Linked DNA regions of Mus musculus. The main gene of each other region encodes a partner of the protein of the gene in region 4 in a complex. Links are inferred from orthologs where the notes say so. Each region holds a gene or a part of one and is shown on either strand. Other genes may lie near its edges. The genes, in order: Gdf11, Tgfb3, Tgfb1 and Tgfbr1.

The links.
Region 1: the proteins of Tgfbr1 (region 4) and Gdf11 are in contact, whole or in part, in a crystal structure (PDB 6MAC), measured with the Homo sapiens proteins. The link is inferred for Mus musculus from reciprocal best matches to the Homo sapiens genes TGFBR1 and GDF11. Residues at the interface, in NP_004603.1 of Homo sapiens: Ile78, Pro79, Asp81, Arg82, Phe84, Ala87, Pro88, Ser89, Ser90, Lys91; in NP_005802.1 of Homo sapiens: Phe322, Ala324, Phe325, Gly326, Trp327, Trp329, Ile330, Met382, Tyr384, Phe385, Asn386, Asp387, Ile392, Ile396, Pro397, Met399.
Region 2: the proteins of Tgfbr1 (region 4) and Tgfb3 are in contact, whole or in part, in a crystal structure (PDB 9B9F), measured with the Homo sapiens proteins. The link is inferred for Mus musculus from reciprocal best matches to the Homo sapiens genes TGFBR1 and TGFB3. Residues at the interface, in NP_004603.1 of Homo sapiens: His39, Leu40, Thr42, Lys43, Phe55, Met70, Ile78, Phe84, Val85, Lys91; in NP_001316868.1 of Homo sapiens: Ala301, Leu302, Asp303, Asn305, Tyr306, Tyr350, Leu351, Ser353, Thr357, Thr360, Leu364, Leu368.
Region 3: the proteins of Tgfbr1 (region 4) and Tgfb1 are in contact, whole or in part, in a crystal structure (PDB 3KFD), measured with the Homo sapiens proteins. The link is inferred for Mus musculus from reciprocal best matches to the Homo sapiens genes TGFBR1 and TGFB1. Residues at the interface, in NP_004603.1 of Homo sapiens: His39, Leu40, Thr42, Lys43, Phe55, Asn68, Met70, Ile78, Phe84, Val85; in NP_000651.3 of Homo sapiens: Ala279, Leu280, Asp281, Asn283, Tyr284, Tyr328, Ile329, Trp330, Gln335, Lys338.

Annotation. Positions count from the first base shown.
Region 1 is NC_000076.6:128,888,584-128,893,499, reverse strand, and holds the start of Gdf11 (growth/differentiation factor 11 preproprotein), read left to right. Parts: upstream 1-1,781; 5' UTR 1,782-1,814; coding exon 1,815-2,253; intron 2,254-4,916. UniProt on the Homo sapiens protein: Secreted signal that acts globally to regulate anterior/posterior axial patterning during development. May play critical roles in patterning both mesodermal and neural tissues. It is required for proper vertebral patterning and orofacial development.
Region 2 is NC_000078.6:86,056,243-86,059,142, forward strand, and holds the end of Tgfb3 (transforming growth factor beta-3 proprotein precursor), read right to left. Parts: intron 2,812-2,900; coding exon 2,658-2,811; intron 1,697-2,657; coding exon 1,538-1,696; 3' UTR 501-1,537; downstream 1-500. UniProt on the Homo sapiens protein: Transforming growth factor beta-3 proprotein: Precursor of the Latency-associated peptide (LAP) and Transforming growth factor beta-3 (TGF-beta-3) chains, which constitute the regulatory and active subunit of TGF-beta-3, respectively.
Region 3 is NC_000073.6:25,696,744-25,700,946, reverse strand, and holds part of Tgfb1 (transforming growth factor beta-1 proprotein preproprotein), read right to left. Parts: intron 4,030-4,203; coding exon 3,952-4,029; intron 3,823-3,951; coding exon 3,675-3,822; intron 1-3,674. UniProt on the Homo sapiens protein: Transforming growth factor beta-1 proprotein: Precursor of the Latency-associated peptide (LAP) and Transforming growth factor beta-1 (TGF-beta-1) chains, which constitute the regulatory and active subunit of TGF-beta-1, respectively.
Region 4 is NC_000070.6:47,390,881-47,395,083, forward strand, and holds part of Tgfbr1 (TGF-beta receptor type-1 isoform 1 precursor), read left to right. Parts: intron 1-2,366; coding exon 2,367-2,609; intron 2,610-4,203. UniProt on the Homo sapiens protein: Transmembrane serine/threonine kinase forming with the TGF-beta type II serine/threonine kinase receptor, TGFBR2, the non-promiscuous receptor for the TGF-beta cytokines TGFB1, TGFB2 and TGFB3.

The DNA.
Region 1 (4,916 bases), on a different chromosome or scaffold from region 4:
TCTATACATTTTACATTTATCTATATATTTTTTTGAGACAGGGCCTTCCTACTGACATTTATACATTTTGTTCAGTGAACACTGCGCGAGACACTGGAAGAGCAAATCTCAACCCCCTAACATTTTCAGTTTGCCAAGGGATCTTCAGAGACATGGGTCAAGGCATGCTTATACAGAGAGCTCTCTGGAGGCTGAGGCAGGAGGATAACTGAGTTTGAGGCCAGCCTGGGATGCATCTGAGACTCTGTCTCAGAGGATAGAGGAAAAGGAGAAGAAAGGGTTTAGGGGAGGGGAAGAGGGGGAAAAAGAGAAACAGAGACCTGGGAAGAGGGAACCAGCAGTAGTGGCTGAGCACACCTGTACACTGTCTTCCTCGTGTACTGAGCTGTCTGGCTGCGCTTAGGACCACACCTGAAGACCATGGCTGGTCCCATTCCAGAGTGGCTCCCCTTGGGGTTTGCTATCTCCACATTAGACATCTGAGTATAGACCCTGCTCTTACCCTTACGCCTAAAACTTCAAGCTTTCTCAGACATGTAAGACCTTACAAACACAAAGACGTAGCTAGGAACCCAGAGAGAGGGTCCAGATTCCTCGCCAAGCACCACTTTCAAGCCCTACCTCATCCCTCATCTGGCTCTTCCCCTCATGGCTCCCACCCTTTCCAGCCCGATCACGATCACTCTCTTTGTTCTATTAAACCTCAATCTCAAGATCACAGGCCTCCTAGATAGTTTTCTTCCGGGCTCAGTACTTGTCAACTTCTCAGCTTGTCCCTGGCCTCTTCCTCTCCTGACCGCCTTCATCCCTGTGATAAATCAGCCTGATGTTCCATTTTATGGGTTCTTTAAACATCCTGGGCTACCTCTGGTAGCTGAGGCTATTCTTCACATCTCCACCTCTTCCCCTTGGGTGTCTCTTTGCGCTCCAACCAAGGCTGACTTGTGTGTGTTACTTCCTCCCCTGGTCTTTTCTCTGCACCTGCCTCCTCAGGGGTTGCTACCTCCAAGGTATCCCCTGTCTCTGCCTCTCCCTCTTGCGCAGGGTACCATCAGCTCCCTCTGACCCATCCGTTCTCTTGCCCACCTCTCCTGCTCTCTCCTGTTCGACTCCGTAGAATTCGGTTAGCCACCCCTCTTTGCGCTCTACCTTTGTCTTTGACTCTCTCCACTCTTAACTGTCCCACTAGTTTTTCTGGTCGTCTTCAGTCTTCGCTCTTGCTCTCTAGCTAAGTCTCTCCCTTCTGTGACTTCTTTTCTCTCTTTTGTCTCTCCCTCTTCCCTTCCTATCTGGGTATCTTTGGATCTGCCTCTTCCCCCACCCCCAACCCCTACCCACCGCTCCGTCTGTCCCCGATCTCTCTGACTCGGTCCCTCACGGCCTCTCCCCCCCTCCCCCTCATCTTTCGGTCTCTTCATCTTTCTCTGGACCCGTGCTCGCTCGTGTTCTCTCTCTCTCTCTCTCTCTCTCTCTCTCTCTCTCTCTCTCTCTTTTCCTCGGTTCTCTCCGGCTCCCTCTCTCGCCTCGGATGACAGCGCTACCTCTTTTGTTGGCTCCGCAGCCAATCGCGGCCGCTGACGACACGGGGGCCGGGGCTATAAAGGGCCCGGCCCGGGCTTGGGCCCCCCCAGCTGCCCGCCCCGGCCGCCCGCCCGCCCCGCCCGTGCGCCCGCCGCCCCCGGCCCCCGGCCCCCCCTCGGCCGGGCAGCCCCCAATCCCGCGCCGCCCGGACCCCCTCCTCCTCCCTCTTCCCTCCGCCCCCTCCCCGCGGGACTCCGGCGTCCCCGCCCCCCAGTCCTCCCCTCCCCTGCAGCATGGTGCTCGCGGCCCCGCTGCTGCTGGGCTTCCTGCTCCTCGCCCTGGAGCTGCGGCCCCGGGGGGAGGCGGCCGAGGGCCCCGCGGCGGCGGCGGCGGCAGCGGCGGCGGCGGCCGGGGTCGGGGGGGAGCGCTCGAGCCGGCCGGCCCCGTCCGCTCCGCCGGAGCCGGACGGCTGCCCCGTGTGCGTGTGGCGGCAGCACAGCCGCGAGCTGCGCCTAGAGAGCATCAAGTCGCAGATCCTGAGCAAACTGCGGCTCAAGGAGGCGCCCAACATCAGCCGGGAGGTAGTGAAGCAGCTGCTGCCCAAGGCGCCGCCGCTGCAGCAGATCCTGGATCTGCACGACTTCCAAGGCGACGCGCTGCAGCCTGAGGACTTCTTGGAAGAGGACGAGTACCACGCTACCACCGAGACGGTCATAAGCATGGCCCAGGAGAGTAAGTGGGCTGCGGGGTGCGCGCGGTGCGGTGCAGTCCGGGAAGGACCCGGAAGCCCTTTCTGCGAAAACTTGACGGATTGGGGAGCCGGGCCACTCCACACAACTTTTTGAGCGGAGAAGATGGGCAGCGGAGTTGAGTGCACGCCCCGTTCTAGGGTGGGGGGGTGGAGGATGGCGCGTTGGGGGAGGGGGGCCAAACCAGGCAGGTTGTGAGCTATTGCTTTCCATCCCTTGTGAGAAAAAGATTCAAGTTGAAGTAGTCCTAGAAACTGGCACCCTACAGTGACTTTTCTGGAGCGTTAGGTGGGGAGCTTCCGTGACCCGTGCAGTCTCAGCTGGGCCGCAGTGCCATCTTCCCACTGCTCTGGCACCAGCATCAACTCCTTGCCCGGTGCTCCGGAAGGCGCCCACCGGCTTTCGGAAAAACTAAGTGTTCCTCTAAGGCCATGGCATAGGACCCAAACCCGGTGTACGTCTCAGCAACTCAGCTGACACCTCTCCTTTCTGCACCTGATCTCGCACTGGGTATCCCCTAGGACCTAGAAGAGCTGTTCCTTCCTGGTACCGAAAGAGCTCAAATAACTCAACTCCACTGCGCTTGCCACTTAACGAGTATCATTTGGTTACTCTCATCTTAGCGTGCTCACTCCCTGTCCTACCCACAGCTGGAGCCAAAGAAGACCCAGGGAGAAAGAACTAGATGAGGGGGATGGGAGAACCCAGGCATCCGAGCCCCTGGCCAAACGGAGGATGAACACTCTGATAGACAGGAGCGGCTTTGAAATTTTATGGCCTGGAAAATCCAGGCCAATACTACCGCCCCCACTGCCTTCTCTCCCTAGGGTCAGGTGACTCCCTTTCCCCTCCCCCACTGACTGTAGTCCCCCCCCCCCCCAACTCCAGGGAACCAGGCTTTCTCTATTCCCTAGTGGTTTGGCAAGCCCCCCCTCCTTTGGTTTTATGGCTCTGAACAGAAGGGGGGGCTGGTTTATTGGCAGATGGGTCATAAAAAGCTGGGGGTTGCGGGAAATCCTAGTGGCCCACCCCCATGGTAGAGGTACAGGAACCCAGGTGTGCATTTGGAAGGTTGAGAGCCTGGCACTTGCCACCCAGTTTCTGCAGAATTCAACTCCAACTTGGTTAGGATTGTAAAGAAAACTCAGAGTCAGGAAACTCTCTCTCTCTCTCTCTCTCTCTCTCTCTCTCTCTCTCTCTCTCTCTCTCTCTCTCTCTCTCTCTCGTGTGTATGTGTATGTGTATGTGTGTGAGTGTGTGTGTGTGTGTGTGTGTGTGTGTGTGTGCACAGAGATCTGATCTTGGGTTCTCAGGCTCCCTTGTTCTTATTGCTTCTACTTTTGGAAACCAGGGTCAGTCTTTGATTGACTAAGGGCAGGGATAGGGAAAAGATTCTAGAAAACAGTTGTAGGGAAATAATGAATGACAAAATTTTCTGGAAGATGCAGGATATATAGAGAAAAGATACTCTGCTCTGTGTGATGTAAAGTGTGTATTTCCAGGGTGAGTGACCCAGCTGCAGGCTTCCCATTGCCTTCACTATCCCTAGCCTCCTGTAACCAGAAGGCTTGAGTCCAGAATTAACTCTGGTAGTGGAGAGCAGCAGGAAGTGAAGGGACTCTGAATGCACAAATTGGGCAGTAGCCATTAAGCCTGGGGGTGGGATTGTACCAGTAGATGAAGTTGGGTCTCACCCTGACTTCCATTTTAGTGCCACTCCAGGACTTAGGTAACCCAGGAACTGGGTTTCAAACCAGGTATTGTACTTCCCCTTTAAGAGTCTAGCTGCGACCTTAAGAGAGGGAGGGGGAGTAGAGGGGAGGGGAGGGAGAGAGGAGAGGGGGGAAAAGGAAAAAGAGACTTTTATAGTCTAATCCCCAGGGACCCGCTTTAATAAGAGACTTGTGCTCTGCTAATCGGGGGAGGTGTTTGTCAGCAGAGATGGCCTCTGCTCCCCTCCCCCTGCCTCCCCTCCCCCAGCCAACCCCGGACCCCAGCCCCCACCTTTCCTAGGCTGTTCGGCCTGCCCTAGTTCCCTCTACCCTCTCACTCTCCCACCCCAGCCTTCATCCCTGGGAACCCAGCCCCCTGCTCTTCTAGGAGCCAAGCCCTGCCCCTCAGTTTGTCTCTCCTGTGCACGCTAAGAGGCCCCTGCCCTCTCGCCCAACCTCCTGCCCCTGGGCCATCCAGCCTGAGTTGGGAGAGGGTGTGTGGTGGGGTGGAGGCTGTAGGCAGAGAGGGGGTTGGGCCTTTGCTGAAAATAGTGCAGTGACCTCTCTCCCCCACCAGCACCGCCTCCTAAACCTGACCTGCTGCCTGCCACCAACCAAATCAATCCAACACAGATGTGGCCCCTTCCCCTCCCCACCAGAGCTCCATAGCTTTACCTGCTTCTTTGTTCCTTCTTCTGCACCTTTCCATCTCTTCTTTACCCCACGAGGGTCCCACCTTTGCCCTCTTACCTTACCCACTCCAGTCCAGTCTACCCAGTGTTTCCATTTCCCAAACATTTGCTCCCATTACTGTGATCTACTTGTTCCGTTCCTCTGCTGGTCTTGGTCTAACCTGTCTTCATTCTGTCTCTTCATTCTTATCTTATCATCTTCAACCTCTTCCTTTCCTTACATCTTGTCCCCTAGAAACATG
Region 2 (2,900 bases), on a different chromosome or scaffold from region 4:
AGCGCGCGCGCACCTCCCCATGAAAACACACATGGAGGCTAGAGGTGCCTCCTTCTCCCTCTTATTTCTTGAGACAGGCTCTCTCATTGGACCTGGAACTTGTGACGTGAGCTAGACTGACTGGCCAGAGAGCCTCCAGGATTCACCCGTCTCCTCCACTTCCCCCCTCTCCAGGACTGAGATACCACATGGCACTACTGTGCCTCCATTTCATATGGGTGCCAGGGAGCTAAACTCACAGACACTTACCCACTGAACCATCTCTCCCCAGCCACAAGATCCGTATAAATGTTCACACATCTAAGCCATTGCCTCCGTGTTTGAGAATTCTGCACCCTGCAGGAGGGAAGTGTGCCCGGGAAGTGGTGCAGTTTTCTCAGTGAGCCAGCTCAGTCTACTCATCCCAAACAACGATGGAGAGAGGCTCTGCCTGAATTCCAGTTATCTCTGGTGAGTAGATGCCAGTGTGCAGTGAAAGGAATATCTCTGGAGTCCAAACATACACCTTAAAGTGAGGTCTTTACTGTTTTAGAAGAACCTTCCAGGAGATGAAGTCATCCATGATTCCCCAAAAATATTTATTTATACAAAGATTCTGAGAGTAATATTTGTATTTGTCTTTATACTTCAGTCTGTGCATCTGGGGCCGAGTCATCATGTCAGACATGGGAGGCTCCCCGGATACTTGGCATGTAGCACCTGCTTCCAGGAACACCTGGGGAGCAACGGGGTCTAGGGTAGGAGGGAAATGGCGCCCCAGGCTATGTGGACTCTGAATCCGGAGAATACACCCTGACCCGGAAGGTGTCTAGCCAAATATCCAAGGGGAAATGCGGCCAAGAAGGAAGGCAGGAGGAGGGGCCCCCAGGGAATACATGAGAGAACCAATTCTGACCTCTGCTTTTGAGTCCAGCATCTCTAAGGGACCTGAGATAGCTAGTTGCTGGCCCAGAAACTAATTACATGATCTGTGATGACTCATGATGCTGATCGAGGTGAAAAGACAGTTGCAGAAAGAACGGATTGTCCTTAATTCCAGGCAGTGCAAGATATGATTCCAGGGGACTTTGGCTTGGTAAACTGAAGAAAAATGCTTGGCCGCCTCTAACGATATCCCAATTCCCTAGAGCAGATGTACTGCAGTGAGCAAAGCTGACCTCAGACCTGAAATGCCTTCCAGTCTGGCCTTCACCTGACTGACCACTCTACCCTTCATCTTTTGTAGGGTAGCCCGAGGCCCATTGCCACTCACAATGTCCACTCGCTATCCGTTCTCTACCCCACCACCTCTGCCTGCACCACAGAAATTCCATGTTCTCAACAGTGTGCCTTCCCCTAACCAACCCACACTTTCTTTACCACAGTGATTCTCAAAGCTAGCAGAAAGAAATGTTCCAGAAGGAAGCCTCCCTCTCGGCCTTTCGCCGGGAGCCAGGGCTTCTGGGCTCCAGGCCTCTAGGGTGAGGTCTGTCGCTTTGGTTTTCCAAGGAGCAGCAGTCTGTGGTGGCAGTTTTCCCTCCTCTGTGGCAGGCTGGCCTCAGCTGCACTTACACGACTTCACCACCATGTTGGACAGCTGCTCCACCTTGGGGGTTCTGCCCACATAGTACAAGATGGTCAGGGGCTCCAGGTCCTGGGGGACGCAGCATGGCGAGGCAGACGCCTCTGGGTTCAGGGTGTTGTATAGTCCAAGCACCTGTGGGGTGGAGCCACACATTTAGCAGGAAAAAGCCAAGCCTTGAGCCTGTGACCCAGAAACCATGCAAGTTGTGGGGGCTACCCTAAGCAGGCAGAGTGGCCATGGAGATCTGCTTAAAAGGGATTGTGGGAACTGTTTGAATAAGAGACGAGCTGCAGTCATCCAGTATGGCAGAAGGCATAACCCATGGACTGCATTATGTTCCTAACTGAAGCACCCGAAGGAGCAGTTGATAAGAAACTCCTCCAAAAGGTCTTCCTGTCTGTAAGTTTCCACATTGGTGGGTAATGTGCACACTCAGCACTGCTTTGGCACATTTAGTAGTTGTAAGAATGTGTGTGCCCCAGACGGGATGTAGCAGTGATGTGCTGCCTGGAACTGGCTCACAGCCTACCGCCCTACTCAGTATTCCCCACCCCCCGAACCCCAGGAAGGTAGGTTGCTGAGGCTGCGGACCCTCCGCCCTTTCTATCGCTATTCCTTTCCTACATGCGTCATTCTGTCTTAACGGAGGTAGAAACTTCTCTGGGCCCCACATCTTACCAACCAGGTGCATACATCTGTGACACAGAGTGACATGCGACAGCTGAATAACTTTCATAGTACAGAAGCTTTAGACAAATAAAAAGGATGCTTGAAACTATGGTGGGAACTCTGCATGTGTGTGCACATGGCTGTGTGCATGTTCAGGTAAGTGTGTTTGCTAGAGACTGAATCCAGAGCATGGCACACACTAAGCATACGTTTTACCCATGTGCTAGTCCCCGTGGTAGGGATTTAAATTGCAGAGTGCAGCTGAGTAGCAGTGGACCAGCCTGCCAAGATCAGAACGTTGTTACAGGGATTTTCTCATCCAAGATTACCATTCATTCAACATTCAATCCTTCATTCACTCACACTGGCAAGTAGTCCGGCCAGGGGAGCCCCAGTATCCAAAGAGCATGCGCCTAGCTCATACCGTGCTATGGGTTGTGTCTGCGCTGCGGAGGTATGGGCAAGGGCCTGAGCAGAAGTTGGCATAGTAACCCTTAGGTTCGTGGACCCATTTCCAGCCTAGATCCTGCCGGAAGTCAATATAAAGGGGGCGTACACAGCAGTTCTCCTCCAGGTTGCTATGAAGAAAACATATATAGGAAATCAACAAAAAGGGAGCATGATGATAAAAGAAGTCTCATATGTGTCTTCCTGTCTCCCATTAAGA
Region 3 (4,203 bases), on a different chromosome or scaffold from region 4:
CCCTACTGGGACGCGGTCTCAGGGTTTTCAGAGTCACTGCTTTTTCAAGCCTCCCTTGCCAGTCTGAGACCCAGCAGGGCCTAATCTGTGAGGAGCCCTGAGGACCCCGGGGGAGGTGGTTTTTAAGATGGCATAAAAACAGCTTTGCCATGGAAAATTGTGAAGAGACACAGAAGCAGTGCGTTACAATATAAACGGAATACCCCTTTTCAGAAACGTTAGGGACCAGAAACATTCTAGACTGTATAGCTTTTTGGGGTAAGGGGATATTTACATAGACTTTACATATTTATTTTATTTTTATTACTATTCATATTTCTTGAGACAGGATCTATGTATTTGCCTGAAATTTGTTTGTCACTGGCCTCAAACTCAGAGATCTGCCTGCCTCTGCTTCCTGAATGCTGGGATCAGAGACATGCACCACACCTGTCAACTTGAAAGAAAGAAAGAAAGAGAGAAAGAAAGAAAGAAAGAAAGAAAGAAAGAAAGGGAGAGAGAGAGAGAGAGAGAGAGAGAGCGAGCCGGGCGTGGTGGCACACGCCTTTAATCCCAGCACTCGGTCGGCAGAGGCAGGTGAATTTCTGAGTTCGAGGCCAGCCTGGTCTACAGAGTGAGTTCCAGGACAGCCAGGGCTATACAAAGAAACCCTGTCTCGGAAAAAAAAAAAAAAAAAGTTTTATGTGTAGGAGTATTTCTCTGAACATGTGTGTACACACACCACATACGTGCAGAGCCCATGGGGGCCAGGAGGAGGCGTTAGATTCCCTGGAACGGGACTATGGATTGCTGGGAGCAGCCATGTAGGTTGCTGGGAAATGAATCTGCGTGCTCTGAAAGAGCAGCTGTGCTCCTCATCCTTCCAGATGCCCCACCCCCTTTCTCGAGGCAGGGTCTGATTGGTTGCCACAAACACACGACGTACCTATCAATGACTTTGACCTCCTGCGGTTCCCGTTCCTACTCCAGCGCTAGGATTACAGCCTTGCTCACCATGGCCAGCGAGATTTTGGACTTCTGAATTATGGATTCTTAACTAATTCGCATCTCCACAACTGTAAATGACAACAGTTGCTGACTCGTGGCCAATTTCATTCCACCTACTTTCTTTCCGCCACTGTAGTTTTTTCATTTGTTTAATGAACTTTTGTAGAAAAGTTCACTTTCTCTTAGAAAGTGAGGAATATTTTACAATTTAAACATGAATCAAAAGTATAAATCAATATAAAATATAAATCAGTGGTAGAGCCCCTGCCTAGAATCCCCCAGTGAGGGGCTGGGGGCGTGGCTTGGTGGTAGAGCCCCTGCCTAGAATCCCCCAGTGAGGGGCTGGGGGCGTGGCTTGGTGGTAGAGCCCCTGCCTAGAATCCCCCAGTGAGGGGCTGGGGGCGTGGCTCAGTGGTAGAGTGCTTCTTTACTATGTACAAGGTACTGGGTTTTCTCAGTATCACAAATGCAGCAGCAGCAACAACAAAATCCTAGGGAGGGTTGGTTTTTTTGTTTTGTTTTGTTTTGTTTTTTTTTTTAATGTATATTGGTGTTTTACCTGCACTTATGCATGTGTGAGGGCATCAAATCCTCTAGAGCTAGAATTATAGACAGGTGTGATCCTTATTATGGGTGGTGGGAACTGAACGCAAGTCCTCTGGAAAAGCAGCCAGTGCTTTTAACCACTGAGCCATCTCTCCAGCCCCCTTCCCCAGGCAAAAATTTAACATTAAATCACTAAAATCAAATACTACTCAAGGTTCATGTTTCCCACTGTGTCCCATAAACATCTTTTTCCCTTTCCTTTTCTTTCCTCCTCCTCCAACCTCTCAGCCCTCTCTTCCTCTCTCTTCTAGTAGTGTGGACTATATATCCTCCCCTCCCTTCTTTGCACTGTATCTGTTGAAGAAATGACTAGGTTTCCCACCATCTGCACTTTGCTGGGTGCGTCCCTGTGGTGCTGGCTAATGTTGTTAGTCTGTCCCTCTGTTGCAGTTCCCTGCAACATGGGAGTTGGAGCTACAGTTCCCATCAGATCATGGTTGATGTGTCTGATAGGCCTTGCTCGATGGCATGGTGTTCTTCCATGCAAAATTTTGCTTGTCACAGCCGGGGACTTGGCTCAGGGAATTAAGTGCTCGCTGTGCAAGCATGAAGACCTGGTTTCGGATTCCCAGAGCCCACATATACATCAGGCATAGGCAAAACAAATATAAGAGAGAGACAGGCAGACAGACACAGTCAGTCAGTCAGACAGACAGACAAAGAGATTTTCATGATTCCCTGAGTTTGTTTCCCAGTATGTGAGGAACAGAGTTTACATAGCTTCCTGCATCTCTTAGTAACCTGCAGTATGAAGACCGGACATCTGATCCTATGTGAAGGCTGACAACCAAAGGTGAAGACAAGGAGGAGGAGGAGAAGGAGGAGGAGGAGGAGGAGGAGGAGGAGGAGGAGGCCGGCCAGCCAAGGACCGATATGTAACACAGAACTCTATAAAGTCTGAAGCAGGTAAGGGATAGGTCAGCTCACTGCTCTCATCTCTCAACACCCCTGAATTTCATGCCTTCTAGGATCTAACGTTCCAATTTCTTTCTCTCATCCACAGTACCGAGGCTTAATATGAGTCTACCATTCTGGAACTGGGTGGTTGTGTGACATCTGTAATCCCAGGACAGAGAATTCAAGACAGTCTGGGCTAAAGGAGTGAATCTGAGGCCAGCCTGGATTACACAGCAAAGCCCTGTCTCGAACAAAACCAAACAAAGGAGAACTAACAAGATGGCTCAGCAGGCAAAGGTGCTCGCAGCCAGGCCCAATGACCTGAGTCTTATATCTGGGACTCACATGGTGGAAGGAGAACGGACTCCCAACAGTTGTCCTCTGACCGTCACACAGTTTTGTGGCATGGATGCCCCTACATACACACAGACACACACACACAATGGCCCTACACACACACAGAGATATAACTTAAAAACAATGACCAAAAAGCTTTGGCCCTTGGTACGGGCATTCTGGATACACTAGGACGCCCACTCTCTGACTCTGAGAGATCTTGTCTCCTCAGAGTTCCCTATCTCAGTACTATATTCCAACACTTCACACTTCCAAGCCTACATACATCTCAGAAGTTCTATCTTCTCACCTCCTCAGGGTGCACCACTGCCAGATAAAGCGCTGGCCCTCAGGAAACTCACTTTCTGGCTTTCTCCACCTCCACTCTAGATGCTAACATCTCCCTGCCAGCCCTGCCATTCTGAGACCCAGGATTTGCCGCTCTCATCCACCAGCACTGGAGACCACCATCTGCCAAGAGTGTGGGAACCCAGTGCAGACCACCTTCTGATTCGGAACCCAAATGTTTGGATCCCAGCACTCCAGCTTTCCTGGGGTCAACACGCTCCATGGCTCACAGTAAATTCTTTCATTAGCATCCCAAAGTGGCAGAAGCCTGGCAAGAATTTTAAAACCCAACCAGACAACCTTCCAACAGACTTCCAACTCTTGTTGAATTCCCTGATCCCAGCACTCCAGGAAGAAAACACCCCTCATTCTAGGACTCTCAGCTGCCCACAGAACCAGGAACTTGTCCCCAAGCCCTGCAGGCATACATGGTGGCACACCAGTCCACAGGCTGCAGTCAGCCCGCAGCCTGCACAGCCTCGGAGAGAGACAGTGTTTACCTGAAGCAATAGTTGGTATCCAGGGCTCTCCGGTGCCGTGAGCTGTGCAGGTGCTGGGCCCTTTCCAGGGGGGTGGCCATGAGGAGCAGGAAGGGCCGGTTCATGTCATGGATGGTGCCCAGGTCGCCCCGACGTTTGGGGCTGATCCCTGTTGGGTTTGGATGTTGTGGTGAAGGACATACACACACTTAGAGGGATGGGTGAGATTTCACACACATGCACGTGCACACAGACCATGAGGGGCCTGTGTCAGGATGGACCCGGGAAGTTAGCTCACCGTTGATTTCCACGTGGAGTTTGTTATCTTTGCTGTCACAAGAGCAGTGAGCGCTGAATCGAAAGCCCTGTATTCCGTCTGCGGGAGAGGAAGGGAGTCTGAGGATATGAGGGGGAAGAGGGGACAGGAAACTGCCAGCCTTGGGGGCTCCCGGCTAGTCACCCCACACTTCATTCTTGCTCCTATTCTTTGAATTGCTGGACCCTTCTCCCCTTATTCAGGGCTCAGCTCAAACATCAACCCCTCGGGAAA
Region 4 (4,203 bases):
ATATATATATGTATATATATATATATATATATATATATATATATATATATATGTATATATATATATATATATATATATATATATACATATATATATAAAGAACTCAAGAAGTTGGACTCCAGAAAACCAAATAACCCTATTAAAAAATAGGGTACAGAACTAAACAAAGAATTCTCAACTGAGGAATACCAAATGGTTGAGAAGCACCTAAAAAAATGTTCAACATCCTTAGTCATCAGGGAAATGCAAATCAAAACAACCCTGAGATTCCACCTCACACCAGTCAGAATGGCTAAGATCAAAAACTCAGGTGACAGCAGATGCTGGTGAGGATGTGGAAAAAGAGGAATACTCCTCCATTGCTAGTAGGATTGCAAGCTGGTACAACTACGCTGGAAATCATTTTGGTGGTTCCTCGGAAAATTGGACATAGTACTTCCAGAAGATCCAACAATACCACTCCTGGGCATGTACGCAGAAGATGCTCCATCTTGTAATAAGGACACATGCTCCACTATGTTCATAGCAGCCTTATTTATAATAGCAAGAAGCTGGAAAGAACCCAGATGCCCCTCAGCAGAGGAATGGATACAGAAAATGTGGTACATTTACACAATGGAATACTTAGTACTCAGCTATTAAAAACAATTCATGAAATTCTTAGTCAGATGGATGTGTCTGGAGGATATCATCCTAAGTGAGGTAACCCAATCACAAAAGAACACACATGATATGCACTCACTGATAAGTGGATATTAGCCCAGAAGCTCAGAATACCCAATATACAATTTGCAAAACACATGAAACTCAAAAAGAAGGAAGACCAAAGTGTGGATACTTCAATCCTTCGGGGGAACAAAATTCCCATGGAAGGAGTTACAGAGACAAAGTTCAGAGCAGAGACTGAAGGAATGACCATCTAGAAACTGCCCCACCTGGGGATCCATCCCATAAACAACCACCAAACCCAGATACTATTGCAGATGCCAGCAAGAGCTTGCTGACAGGAACCTGTTATAGCATCTCTTGAGAGGCTCTGCCAGTGCCTGACTAATACAGAAGTGGATGCTCACAGTCATCTGTTGGACGGAGCACAGGGTCCCCAATGAAGGAGCTAGAGAAAGTTCCCAAGGAGCTGAAGAGGTTTTCAGCCCCATAGGAGGAACAACAATATGAATTAACCAGTACTCCTAGATCTCCCTGGGACTAAACCACCAATCAAAGAAAATACATGGTGGGACTCATGGCTTTAGCTGCATATGTAGCAGAGAACGGCCTAGTCAGTCATCAGTGGGAGGAGAGGCCCTTGGTCCTGTGAAGGTTCTATGCCCCAGTATAGGGGAATGCCAGGGCCAGGAAGTGGGAGTGGGTGGGTTGGGAAGCAGGGGGAGGAGGGAGAGGATAGGGGATTTTCAGAGAGGAAAGTAGGAAAGGGGATAACATTTGAAATGTACGTAAAGTACCTAATAAAAAAATACAGTTGGCAAAATAGTCTAGAAAGGATGTGCATACACAATGTATTAATATCCAGTGCTGGAATGCAGAGGTTGAAGAATCCCAAATTTGAGACCAGCCTGGATGAACTATGGTGATAAAACCCCGTCTCACAAAAAATTGAGGGAAAGAGTTAAAAATTTATAAATAAGCAAATAGAATAAAAAACAAAAGTAAACAAAGGAAGTCTTAGGCTTTAAAAAGTTGGTGGAAGGGCTGGTGTGATGGCTCAGTGGGTAAGAGTACCCGACTGCTCTTCCAAAGGTCCAGTGTTCAAGTCCCAGCAACCACATGGTGGCTCACAACCATCCGTAACGAGATCTGACGCCCTCTTCTGGTGTGTCTGAAGACAGCTACAGTGTACTTACATATAATGAATAAATAAATCTTAAAAAAAATAGTTGGTGGAAAAGTATATAATAAAATATGAGTCTGAAGCTTTGCAAGGAAGTTGATAATTTGTAAAAACTTTATTAACTATATTTATATATATTTCTTCTGCTATAATCCTGCAGTAAACTTGGAATAAGAAGAAAAGACCAAAGTGCTTTATAAAAAAATGAGTTATTAGAAGTTGTTTCAAATAATTGTTTACTTTTCTTGTTTACCTGAGGTGACAAGTGGGGAAGGAGGTCTAGAAGGGGCTTAGCTAATGAACCCAATGGTGAACTATAAGATAGGCTGGGGATACTCAGGAAGAGTGAGAGGGTACTGACAGCTGATGGTCTGACAAAGGAGACCAGGGAGGGAAGCCCTGTGTGACTAAATGATAGTAGTGGACACGGGGGTGGGGGTGGAGGGATATGGAGGGTTTGGGAACTGTGAGTGCCACCTACAGTGTTTTGTTTCTCTTGATGTTTATTTCATTGGAGGACCTTTTTCAGAAAAGCAGTCAGCTGGCCTTGGTCCTGTGGAGCTGGCAGCTGTCATTGCTGGTCCAGTCTGCTTCGTCTGCATTGCACTTATGCTGATGGTCTATATCTGCCATAACCGCACTGTCATTCACCACCGTGTGCCAAATGAAGAGGATCCATCACTAGATCGCCCTTTCATTTCAGAGGGCACCACCTTAAAAGATTTAATTTATGATATGACAACATCAGGGTCTGGATCAGGTAATGTTATTGTTTACCTTTTTCTTAAGTCTTAACTCATTTTTCCTATTTTATTTAATTAGTTGGTTGGGGCATTTGGCTTAATTTGTTAAAACTTTGGAATAGTATGAGTACTATACAGGATTGCAGCCTATTGAAAACTGTTGAGCTTGCTGTCTGACTGGATAGTTTAATATAGATAAATTGGAACTTGGTTTTACCATTGAAACAAGTCACAGATGTATAGGCTTCCACACATCCTCCCCTATATAACTTGAGCCTGGGAGGTAGAAAGTTGGACACCATTCTTACAAAGATAGAGCTGCAGCTAAAAGATGCATCTGCCATTCTGCAGCTCTGAGACTGTTCTGGAATTTGGAAGCTGATTAGCCTCTTTAACATGATACAAAATTGTTGTTTTAATAAAAAGTGTGTGTGTGTGTGTGTGTGTGTGTGTGTGTGTGTGTGTTTGCACACACATGCCTGCCAACCACAGTATCCATGTGGAAGTCAGAGGACAACTTGAAGGAGTCAGTTCTCTCTCTCCTCTGTATGGATCCTGGGAAACAAACTCGTGTTAGCAGGCTTGGTGGCAGATGATCAGACCAGTCTCGTTTATTGTTTAAAATTAAACTATTGCATCTTTAGTAACTTTTTACATTTAAAAGAAAATTTCAAACAAAGAAACAAAAATAGTAGTCCTGTGAATGAATGTTTGTTTTTCTTGGCTTTGTTTGTTGATTTTTGTGGACTCAGAAGTAGACTGGCTGATTGTCAGGATCATGCTGAAATAGATTTTAGCATAATAGTATTTTGCTTTTAGACCAAAGAGAAAATACCTTTTTTTCCCTTGTCTGTGGTTTGGAAGAAGACTAAGAGAAGTGTGCCTCCTTTACAGTTTTGGACTTTAGGGCTGGAGAGATGGCACAGTGCTTAAGAGCACTGCTGTTCTTCCAGAGGTCCTGAGTTCAAATCAAAATACTCACATGTTGGCTCTCACTGTCTTTAACTAATCTCTGGAACCAATGCCCTCTTCTGATGTGTAGATAATGCATATAGACAAAATACCTATATGTATAAAATACATAAGTAAATTATAAGAAAAACAATTTTGGAATTTGATGTGTGGCTAGCAATCAATAGGTTTAGACTCTAACACATGCTCTATGACTTTGGTCAGTTCATATTTCCTCTTTGTTTTTGTTTGTTTGTCTTTAAGCTTATAACTTGCATTTTTATTTGATATTTTCTTTATTTACATTTAAAATGTTATCTCCTTTCCCAGTTCCCTTCCCAGCCCCGAAGTCTCCTATCCCATACTCCCTCCCCCTGCTTCTATGAGGATGTTCACCCACCCAGTCACTCCCGCCTCACCACCCTAACATTCCCCTACACTGGGGCATCGAGCCTTCAGAGGACCACGAGCCTCTCCTCCCATTGATGCCTGACAAGGCCATCCTCTGCTACATATGCAGCTGGAGCCATGGGTCCCTCCATGTGTACTCTTTGGTTGGTGGTTTAGTCCCTGGGAGCTCTGGGGGTGGAGGGGGGGAGGTCAGGTTGGTTGATATTGTTGTTCTTCTTATAAGGTTGCAAACCCCTTCAGCTCCTTCAG